Styela clava: one gene and its partners. The main gene of each other region encodes a partner of the protein of the gene in region 3 in a complex. Links are inferred from orthologs where the notes say so. Each region holds a gene or a part of one and is shown on either strand. Other genes may lie near its edges.

Region 1 (3,764 bases), on a different chromosome or scaffold from region 3:
CCTTCATTCTCATGTATAACAACTCTATAATTAGTTTATCTGCAAAAAACTCGTCGTCATGGATTGAATATTGTGCGACAGAAAAGGCCATTTATACACTAAAAAAGTCGGCTCGTTTAACAAACGCTTAATTGCGGCGAATTTTCGATTTTAAAATTCTGTTGTGTTTGGTTTTATTATTTCTTCACACAGAGTAAGTGCGGTTGCAATAAACGCACGTTGGGTCCGCAAAGGTTTTCGCCGGTGAAAAAATAGTCCGCGACCAAAAAAGGTTGGGAAACGCTCGAAATTAGAACTAATGTCAACGGTGAAACAACATTTGACTCGCTTTCGTTTTCTAGCAATTAGTCTTTTTTCTTTCGAAATTTGGGAGTGACTAAAAATAACCCTATGATAACTTTTTCTGCACAAGCCTTAGTTTAGACCCGATCGGTTCTCCAGTCCCGCACAAAACCAATTACGAACGTTTATTTACGTTATACGCAAATACTCTTATACAAAACGCGACCACGATAGATAGACAATGTGGAAGAATTTTCAGAACTCAGCAGTAATAAAATATATTTATATAAAAATAGGGTCCTTTAGCGAAACACCAAGTAAAAATAATTTCAAACTTTTTGATTCATATATGAAGCAGTTAAAATAGAAAGTTTGTTTAAAACGTGCTAACATTTAATATTTACAAAACTAATGCCAAGAATGAAATTCACAATTTTAAAAAAGTTTTAAGGCAAAACTGTGATATGTGACTGAGCCCTGGATCACTATTTGATCATGATTTAGGACTTTCAATTCAACAGATTCTTTGTGACCAGCATGGAGTGGAAGCATTTGATCAGACGCTGAAAAAAAACTTTGCCATTGACTATAAGTTTTTCTTCAATGCTAAAACACCGATGATAACAATAGTCTCAGTAATTGCTGGAAGGGCACTGTAAAAAAAAAAATTGACAGAGCAATGGAAATGGATTTTGTCACTGAATAAAATTATAATAAAACTCAGTGGCTACCATAAGCTTGTTTCTCTCAATTTTGGTAAATTCAGGAGAATTAAAAAGACGGAAAAAAACAATCATATTTTCAAACAAATATTGTTATAAGAGACTTAAACGTAGAGATTCTCTCACAACAATGTTGTTGGGCATTTTGTTACAATGATGCTACTTATAATAACTGGAATTTTTTACATTTCATATACATTCAAAACCTCCAACAGGTCTTTTTAAACTTACAAACTGTATTCAACAGAACTTAGAATTAGTCACATATCAAGAAGTCTCGAAAATCAAGAAAAACAAGAAGATCGACAGTGAAATGACTTAGGGCCTTGGAGTATACAAGAGTGGAAAATATATTGGTCATATGATGCACCATTATTTTAAAATATTCTGTGGCTTGGTCTGATGAAAAGTATATGAGAATAAAAGTTTTGTTGATAATTACTAACCTACAGAATGCAAAAATCCACCAATATAAAGAGCAGCTCCAAGAATCAAAAACGAAAAAGGCGAGAGTGACACTGGCCCCTGCATGAGCCGCAATAGCTGAATAGTTCAGTATAAGGAAGTTGAGGTAAACAATGTGAAATCTCAATTACTAAATACAAATTTTGCTGAATCCCACTTGAGTTCAACCTGCCTTCATAAAAAAATTTGTTAACGTCTTATTCCCCAATAATCTTACATTGAAGATATAAATTAAACACTATTTCCATTTATTGCAATTCAAAATCTTTTTTTATAGAATTAAATAAACTATTTGTTAAAAAGGATACAAAATAGAGACTGCGTGTGACTGAACATTGAAACTCCACCAATAAACCCTCCAAATTCAACCAAAAAGAATGCTAGTGTTATTGAAAGGCCAATAATAAGTTCAGTGTCTCTGGATGAATATTCTGCAGCAGTGTAGTTAATTGGAAGACATGCTTTCACATTCAGATCCTGTAGTAATATTGAACACTTCATGATTTACTCAAAACTAGAATAGAATATAACCAAAGGCACGCACTATTAATTAAATAGGTCAAAAAACTAATACACATTTAATTTGAGGTTTTCTGATAAAAGAAATATTTAAATCAACAATTACGGTAGTAATTTCTGGTGTTTAAAGCTATACATGTAAACATGATGGTCCCAAAAAACTGTGCTAAGAGTTCTGGTGCATGGTGCTCTGAAATACACTTTAGTTGCTACGTTTGTCATAAAATAGCAATTGTATTTTATATACAATATGATAATGAAAAAATACTCACCCTTGACCAGAATATTGATATGACAATCACCAGATGTGCTATGAGAACCAAGAATCTAGTTGGTACCAAACCACTTACAGCTCTCATAATTTTAATATGCGGCGGATTGAATCAATTTACAGGTGACGGTAGATAGGCTTACCCCTGTGAAAACAGAAAATATTCCATAATAAATCTGTGGTACAGCAAAGACAGTTATAGGTGTATATATTGGGAACATATTTATCCTTGGGGAGAGCAAAACGTTTGCCTAATCATGTTGAAAACTACTGCCTCTTGTCCAATTATCAGTTCATCAAGTATAGGAATACATAACTAGAGTGTTTCTTTCAGTTCATGAACTTGATGGTGGCAGGGTAGAGGAAGCCATAACCAAACAGATGATACAAACTTACTGAACCACACTACGATAGCAAGGGATGAGCCTTGTCATAACCGGACAAGGTATTTACACAAGTATTCTAATGAATGAGGTGAGCCAACCCAATTACCTAACTTATTTGCAATACTGTCTGAATATGGTACTAGAATACCGGCACCAAAATCATGAAAATAGTCTACTAAATATGGGATACCAGTAATGGAAAGTAACTATACCAGTAACTATATTTCCATCAATAGTCTTCTATTACTGTGTTATATACAGTAGGCCTATATAAGTTTATTTTGAATTCCCCGATGGGCAACACACATTCTAGCATTTGCTGGATGAGTCTGACAGTTGTACTGGCACCATAATATTGCAGTAAGACGGGAGATAGGCTACAAAATGAGATTAAATCTGTGAATAGTCAATGTATCGTAACTGTAGTACGGTAAGTTTTAGTTATGCACCATAGGCTAACCGGTACCGATAACTCTTGAGATCTAGGACAGTGATACAGTTCGATACCGGTAATAGCATTCTGACGTCTTTGCTTATGCCCCGGTTAAACTTAAATCGCGCATAGACTAGGTACCGTACCGGTATATCTGTACGGTATCGGTATAGTCTAGTCTAGCTCATTTGAAACGTAGGCTATCAGATGATAGTGTTAACTCTCATGAGCACGATCAACCGCTCGATTTAATGCGTAACCAACCCCGTCGCTGCATATGATCGTAAATATATACTACTACGATATGATCGCTAAACTTCTGATGAGAGATGTCTGTACCACTGTACTACTTTATCGGATCACCGAAGAGCGCCGGTATTGAAATTACCGTCAATATATATATAAATTTCATTGAGTGGGTATCTATTAAATATTTACCTGTGAAACGGTGTTTGCAGAGAACAATATTCGAATCGGCGGTGTGGCGCATCGTGCTATACGTTAAGAATACGCTTGCCATCGCACATATGATTAACCTGATTGCTTTAGTCAATATTCATATAAAACTTGATCCTCGTAAAAAAAATCATGTTTATTTCAATTGCTAAAAAAATTATTTTTAAACAAACTTCGAAAAAAAATTAATAAACCCTGAAGGGGATTTAGGATTTTGGTACCGGTACTCG
Region 2 (2,923 bases), on a different chromosome or scaffold from region 3:
GATTCATTACCTTTCAAAAAAACGAATCCTGGTACACCATTTTGTAGGATAGTTGTAACAACAATTCAGGACGAATTTCTTGATACACTGACTAATATTACTATTAATAGACAATCAAATAGTGTCCCAGTCAAATATGGAGTTGTTGATTATGGACAAATATCATTTTTTTCCATTGATGAAGGTGGTGTTCCCACTATAATTAATGATCCGTGATAGTGTTTTAATCTCTCATGCTCTAAAATCAGACATGATTTTCAAGATTGGCAATAAATATTATTTTCATAAATAAATGAGTCTGATATTTGATAGAAGTTGCAAGGTGATGATGAACATTATCCCGTGTTTCTCTTCGACAACTAACTGCTTGGAAATATTTCTTCAAATTTGTTGAGGCTGTACTGAAATTATTCATGTTTCATGAAATTTTCTGCATTGTATATCAACAAAACAAAATATATTTTACAATACAGTGTATGTGCTTTAGTTCCAATGCTGAATAGGATTAGTTAACCTTACATTTTCGCATGTTCCGTTAAGTCAAATATCATATCAGGCAAATCATTGTTCCAAGTGTCATCGAGCTACAGTTTTCATTGTGTATTATTAGAGACGTTTCAAAATCTGATTATATCTGACAAATCAGAAAATTTGCCATGGTTCATTTCAAAGGAATATATTTGAGTCAACGTCCACTTGCTAATGAAGTGTGTTTTTATGATATGTAGTTTATATATTTCAAAACTGTTTTGAGGAGCATCAGTAATCGCAGGCCCTTTCCATCAATAATGTAACTTTTATTGGTATAAGAATGCTAATGAAAAATATCATAATTGATATAGATAAGTCGCTCACCAGCTGAAACATTTCCTACAATATACAGTAAGTCATATTTATTAATATACAATTTTAACAGATATATATTTACTACAACAGTATAAACATTGAAAACATGAAATCCACATTTGCAACCTTGCTCAAAATTATATAAATCCTCCGCTCTTATTATCAATTTATAATGGATAATTTGAAGATTAAACATTATTGCGAAAAGTGCCATCATGAATATATCTATTAATGGTCAAACCGAACCATTTTCTACTATTCAAAATAGAAATTCAAAAATATTTCAAAATGAATTGGGGGATGTAATATCGCAGAAATATGAATGTTGATTTTCTACATTATTCTCAGATATGTTAAAGAAATCATTCAATAGAATACCACTAATTCAACATCTTCTTTCAATACCACCTTACACTTCTCACAGTATGAGTATTGGTTCAGAAACAATAATATGTCACAAAAATATCTTGAAAACGCTACATATGACTAACTTTCAATGCCAAATTTGTCAAAATTTCTCAGTATTACATTCAATTGTGCATGAACCTTTCCCATAGCAGTTGTATGCAATTTATACCTGTCTGCACCACTGTATATTAATTCTGGATTTTTCAATTGTGGGCATCCGCCAACAAAGTATTGCATCAATTCTTCTTTAAATGTTCCATTGGGTTTCCATGTCATGCACTCAACTTCATGTGGTCCTGGAGACGACGGAATGTGAACAAATCCATAAGCGTATAGTTCGTTTCTCCCAAATGCATCATGGTGCCAAATCTGCACATGTAGACGTGGCCAGCCCTGAAGTCCTTTAGTTGCGTAATGCAAGTCTATTGGATGACAAAATGCAGCGAACTCTTCATTTTGTGGATTGTCTACTTGAGTTTGTCCATCTTTTGAACCTGCTATCAACTTCCAGGCACCTCCTGCGTGAATTCCCCATTTGCAGAAAAGTCTATGATCTGGAAATTCACTCGCCCCAGTTAACTGACCAATAATATGGACTTCAGCCATGGTTTGTTTATAAATGGTTCAACATATTTATGATAAATCTTAAAGGCAAAGTAAAAAAACAAATTAATATAATAGTATGGAACAATTGACGGACTTCCCGAAGTATGCTCACCAAGATGGCGCACAACCTGAACTCGGGTTGGTAACCAGGTTCAGGTTATGCGACATCTTGGTGCACATACTTCAGGAGTACCCAATTGACAAACCAAGTATAGCCTAGCTATATCAAAGTCGTTCGATACTGGAACAATAAAAATGGGAATTCGATATGGAGTTTTTGCACAGTATTAACTTAATGTTAAAACATTGTTTGCTATCGAACATGACCAAATCGTTAAACATCTATGAATAACTGGATAGAGAGGTTCTGGTATGACACAACATGACAGATGAAATACATTGCTAGATAATGGTATTAATTCTTTTAATGGTATTTATTATTCAAAAAATATTTCACTTATTCAGTCTATAGTAAACTGAAGCCGGTCAATACACTACTAGGGTGCGGTACCTGGACTGAACATACATTCAATTTCCCATTGGCAGCTATGACAATTATTCTTTATTAATGCGCATGTTTATTTACATGTATTGTACCTTTATAAAAGTTTTGCAAGTTTCCCAAATTTTCGCAATCTTCTGTGTGTTCATTCTTGTGTTTTGTGTATGATTTTTTTTCGGGAAAATCAAAACATACTTATATAGGAACAAAAATAAATAACTATGTAGCGGTACCTACAGCATTAGCATACAAACATTCATTTCAGTACTTCAACCGTTATTCATTGATCACATTTATATCCAGCCATACAGGTAATTCTCAATGTAATAAAACAAGATTATATATATGAAACACCGGAATTTAGAATAAATATTTTAATAAAACAAGATTATATATATGAAACACCGGAATTTAGAATAAATATTTTAACTAAAGAAACCGTATCCAGAATCGCAGAACAACAAATAAACCGCGTATCCTGGAGCATTGATGCATTAATTTTAAATCAAGCGGTACCACTTAAACCCTTTGGTTACAAAGGTTGAAGTTTATTTTTTAATA
Region 3 (3,764 bases):
TGCTGTACCCATTTGGCGGTGTGGCTCAACGGGCTAAGCGTTAGGAATACGCTCGCCACCGCACCTCTAATTACTCTGCATGGGTTCGCAGGTTCGAATCCCATGCAGAGATGGTTATGTGCGAGAGGATTGCTGGACTCCTCGCCATCGTTGGGTGGTTCACGTAACCGCTGGTCGGTTACGGCTTCCTCCACCACCAAGTCCATGCTTCCGAAAACAAACAATACAGTAAAACTAATCCCATACCCGACTTGGAATGGTAACCGGACGAGAGGCCGTGGTTCGCCATATGGATAAGCCGTCTTATCGGCTTTCCTCTCCCCCGGGATAAATATGTAAAATCCTATCCTATCCTACTGAACCAATGTCTGAATGTGCATAAACAAAATGTAATTTGCTTAGGTAACTTTAGTAGTACCTTACCGGTAACGTAAGTTACCCTATTATCTCCGCTTTTTATTCCGATCCATCTAAAATCTATAATACTTTACGTAACATTTCTTTTATATTTTCTCGGAACATTGGCTACCGATCGAGAAAAAAAGCCAACAGCAGTGATCCCCAAAAAGAATTTGCTATAGCGATATCTCAAAAATATAGCAGAAATGTTGATGTGGCGATAATAGGAACTACGATTATCCTATTATTGCCACTTGTGTCAAACTTTTTATATACGCAAAGAAAGAGCTATCAATTGCAGAATTGCCTCTGCTACGTGCACTAGAAGTACTTATGGTACTATAATAGACCCAATGTACTTAGATTTTGTAGAAACTCAGTAAATCCTGAACTGTGTACTGGTATAAGTCAACACATAATTCCGTTAGTTGCAACAGGTTCTTCCAACCTCCTAAGAACACACATACTAGTAGCTTTTACTTCTATTTTACTCAATTACATACTTTTGAAGTTACATATCATTTGTTTTTCCCCATTATTTTCAGGGTTCGAAATGATCTTATAGAAATTGACTACAAAGACATTTTGCCATTTTTATTATGGCTCCCAATATTGATTGGGCCACTGTTGGCACAGTGGCTCAAGGTAGTTCTACAGTGGATGACGAGACAATTGACAGGGTGGTTGAAGATCTTCGTACAGTTAAAGATGCAGATTTTAAAAATGAACCAGACAAGTTGATCATGCTTTTCAAATCTGCTTTGAATATTCTTGATGTAAGTACTAAATTATAATGAAAGCCTCATGTAGTTTTGTGGGTATAAGGGTGACCTATAAAGTTTCAAATACAGTTTTTCAAGGTATAAAACCTATTTCATACATCAATTTAAAGTTAAAAAGTGTTTTTGTTTGAATGGAAAACTTCTATCATTGAAAAAAAAAATCTGTAAAATCAAACCCGAATTTTTTTTTCCTCATAATGATTAATGAGTTCCCAGTTCTATGCCAGTGATTTTTATCATATGTAAACTTGAACTGCCTATAATAAAAGTCTTTTTCTGGTATTTATGGAAAAGTTATTCACCAAAGTGTTATTTCCATCATATCATGATTTTTCTCTTCTGTAACTCACTGCGACAAATCCAGCTAACTTAAAACTTTAAAATGTCATACCATCTACAGCATCGAGAGCAAGAATATGAAGCTTTACTCGATGAACAAGTAAAATCTGTTAATGATAAAGATTCACAGATTGAAGAATTAAAAAGAAGGCTAGAGGATGAACGAGTAAGATTTTGTCGAATAATTGGGAATGAGACTTAAAAATTTATATGGTTTAGCAATTTGCTCATTATGAATGTAGCAATATTATTTTCTTTGTTAATATTTTAATGCTTAATCACATAAATTTGAATTGGCACTATTTTGAGATTGATACAACAAGAACAACAAATGCAAAATATAAAAAAGAGTCTTTTTACTGTAAGACATTTTCAATTGTCAATTGTGTCAATGTTTACAATAAATAATATAGTGTTCATTTCCAAAACATCTCACTTTCAAAATACCAATCTATTATTATTACTGTGATAACCTTTTTCTAAGTTGATACGCTATCTGCTCCATTTCCGATTTTCTATATATCTGTTATATATTCAGTCTAATTGTGCTCTATACTACTTCAATTCTGTAGTTAATATTGTTCACTTTCCACGAAGTCTCTTCTAGTTTTCAAAATACTTTGGTATCCGTCTCATGCTCTACTAACAAATAGCATTCTTTCATTTTTGAACCAGATTAAGTTGGTTTCTATTCAAAACTATAGAATGTATTTAAACTGATGATACATAACATTAAGTTTTTATTTATTTCACATTAATTATGAGATTACTCTTTTTTCTCATTTAATTCCAGTATAAAAGAATATTTATCTTAGAACTTTTATGTGAAGTATTAGTAAAGAATCAAATATTCATGAACCACTGACCAGATCTTTGCTAAATTTTTCTATCGAGAACATTTAGTTTAGAATGTCATTTTATGTTTTAAAATAAATTGCTCAGTTATTATTGAATGGTTGAATAGCTGATGATTTCAAAATAGCTTTATATCTCATCAGAGGGTAACATATATAATGCTATATGTAGGTTTTGGAACTAGGAGATCTTTATTTTGAAACAGTATCATGACTTGGTGTATGAGTAAAACTAGATTTTTTTGGAGCAATGCAGAGATAAGTAATATTATTGATTTTTCAACTGGAATTTGAAATGATCAATAAATGTATATTCATTTGAGAACTGGAACTTCAACCTGCGCTTGTGCTTCCTCCAAAAGTTTGATAACATTTTTTTCCATACTTATAATTTTATGACTAGTATAGACATATGGTAATTCTTAAATTCGAAAATTACATTTATGACAGACATTGACGTTTCTTGGTTTTTGCAGAGATTTGGATCGGGAGGTGCTGGTGGCCTCCGCGGCGACACGGAATACATTCGTGCGGAAAATAGGAATCTTGCTGAATTGGTAGAAGGATACAAAGAACAAGAAAGGGAACTTAGAATTGAACTTGAAGAAATGTCGAGAGATAGATATACTTTTGAGCGAGAGAACAACGAAATGAAACAACAAGTTAAAGATCTAAAACTGGAGGTACGTTTTTAAAATGAAAACGTTAATTTTACATCATAATGCCATATTTTTCGGCTAAAATATTTCATGCTTTTTAGAATCAAGAATTGAAAAGTGATCTTCGCGACTTCCGTGATATTATGGAGAAGCAACATCGTGAACGTTTGGGTGTCAAAGGTCATATTGATTCAGAAATGAAAGACAAACTCACTGAGAAAAACAATCAAATAACAGATTTACTCGATCAAATAACGGTTTGTATTTTTCTTTATTCAGGAATTGTGGTAGAAATATGCTATCTAATTAAATTCCAAGCCAACTAAAGTTATGTGAGATAAATTTTAAGGCTATGTGAATAAGTTCATTTCTGTCTATATTTTTATCTCATTTTTTCTAAATGTTATTTGAATCAATTTTTTAACACAGAAGTGGGTAAATTACGGCCCGTGGGCCTGATTTGGCCCACCGAAGTGTTTCATCTGGCCCAGTTGTGCCTGCTGAAATTTTACGATTATAAATTTTTGTTGAAAAAATCAATGAGAATAGCGAATCGTTGGCCAAAATAAATAGCGAACTTCTCCTGTATTAATTGTACTCTAATATAATGTACAGAACGAGCCATATATTACCTTAAACTCACTTATCCGAATTATTTATGTCATTGTAAAACTCGAGTCTCGGCCAGGAATAGCTCCTGAGACACGTTTTTAGAGAGACCTTCTAAGACT

The links.
Region 1: centrosomal protein of 290 kDa-like (region 3) and transmembrane protein 107-like share a complex: the UniProt entries of both Homo sapiens proteins name them as parts of the tectonic-like complex. The link is inferred for Styela clava from reciprocal best matches to the Homo sapiens genes CEP290 and TMEM107.
Region 2: centrosomal protein of 290 kDa-like (region 3) and B9 domain-containing protein 2-like share a complex: the UniProt entries of both Homo sapiens proteins name them as parts of the tectonic-like complex. The link is inferred for Styela clava from reciprocal best matches to the Homo sapiens genes CEP290 and B9D2.

What each region holds. Positions count from the first base shown.
Region 1 is NC_135256.1:19,257,479-19,261,242, forward strand, and holds transmembrane protein 107-like, read right to left. Parts: upstream 2,405-3,764; 5' UTR 2,348-2,404; coding exon 2,261-2,347; intron 1,947-2,260; coding exon 1,778-1,946; intron 1,548-1,777; coding exon 1,451-1,547; intron 936-1,450; coding exon 869-935; 3' UTR 545-868; downstream 1-544. UniProt on the Homo sapiens protein: Plays a role in cilia formation and embryonic patterning. Requires for normal Sonic hedgehog (Shh) signaling in the neural tube and acts in combination with GLI2 and GLI3 to pattern ventral and intermediate neuronal cell types.
Region 2 is NC_135258.1:12,602,722-12,605,644, forward strand, and holds B9 domain-containing protein 2-like, read right to left. Parts: upstream 1,903-2,923; 5' UTR 1,861-1,902; coding exon 1,333-1,860; 3' UTR 630-1,332; downstream 1-629. Other genes in the region: tRNA-splicing endonuclease subunit Sen54-like, read left to right, coding at 1-216. UniProt on the Homo sapiens protein: Component of the tectonic-like complex, a complex localized at the transition zone of primary cilia and acting as a barrier that prevents diffusion of transmembrane proteins between the cilia and plasma membranes.
Region 3 is NC_135257.1:13,835,674-13,839,437, reverse strand, and holds the start of centrosomal protein of 290 kDa-like, read left to right. Parts: upstream 1-944; 5' UTR 945-998; coding exon 999-1,175; intron 1,176-1,581; coding exon 1,582-1,686; intron 1,687-2,850; coding exon 2,851-3,057; intron 3,058-3,134; coding exon 3,135-3,290; intron 3,291-3,764. UniProt on the Homo sapiens protein: Involved in early and late steps in cilia formation. Its association with CCP110 is required for inhibition of primary cilia formation by CCP110.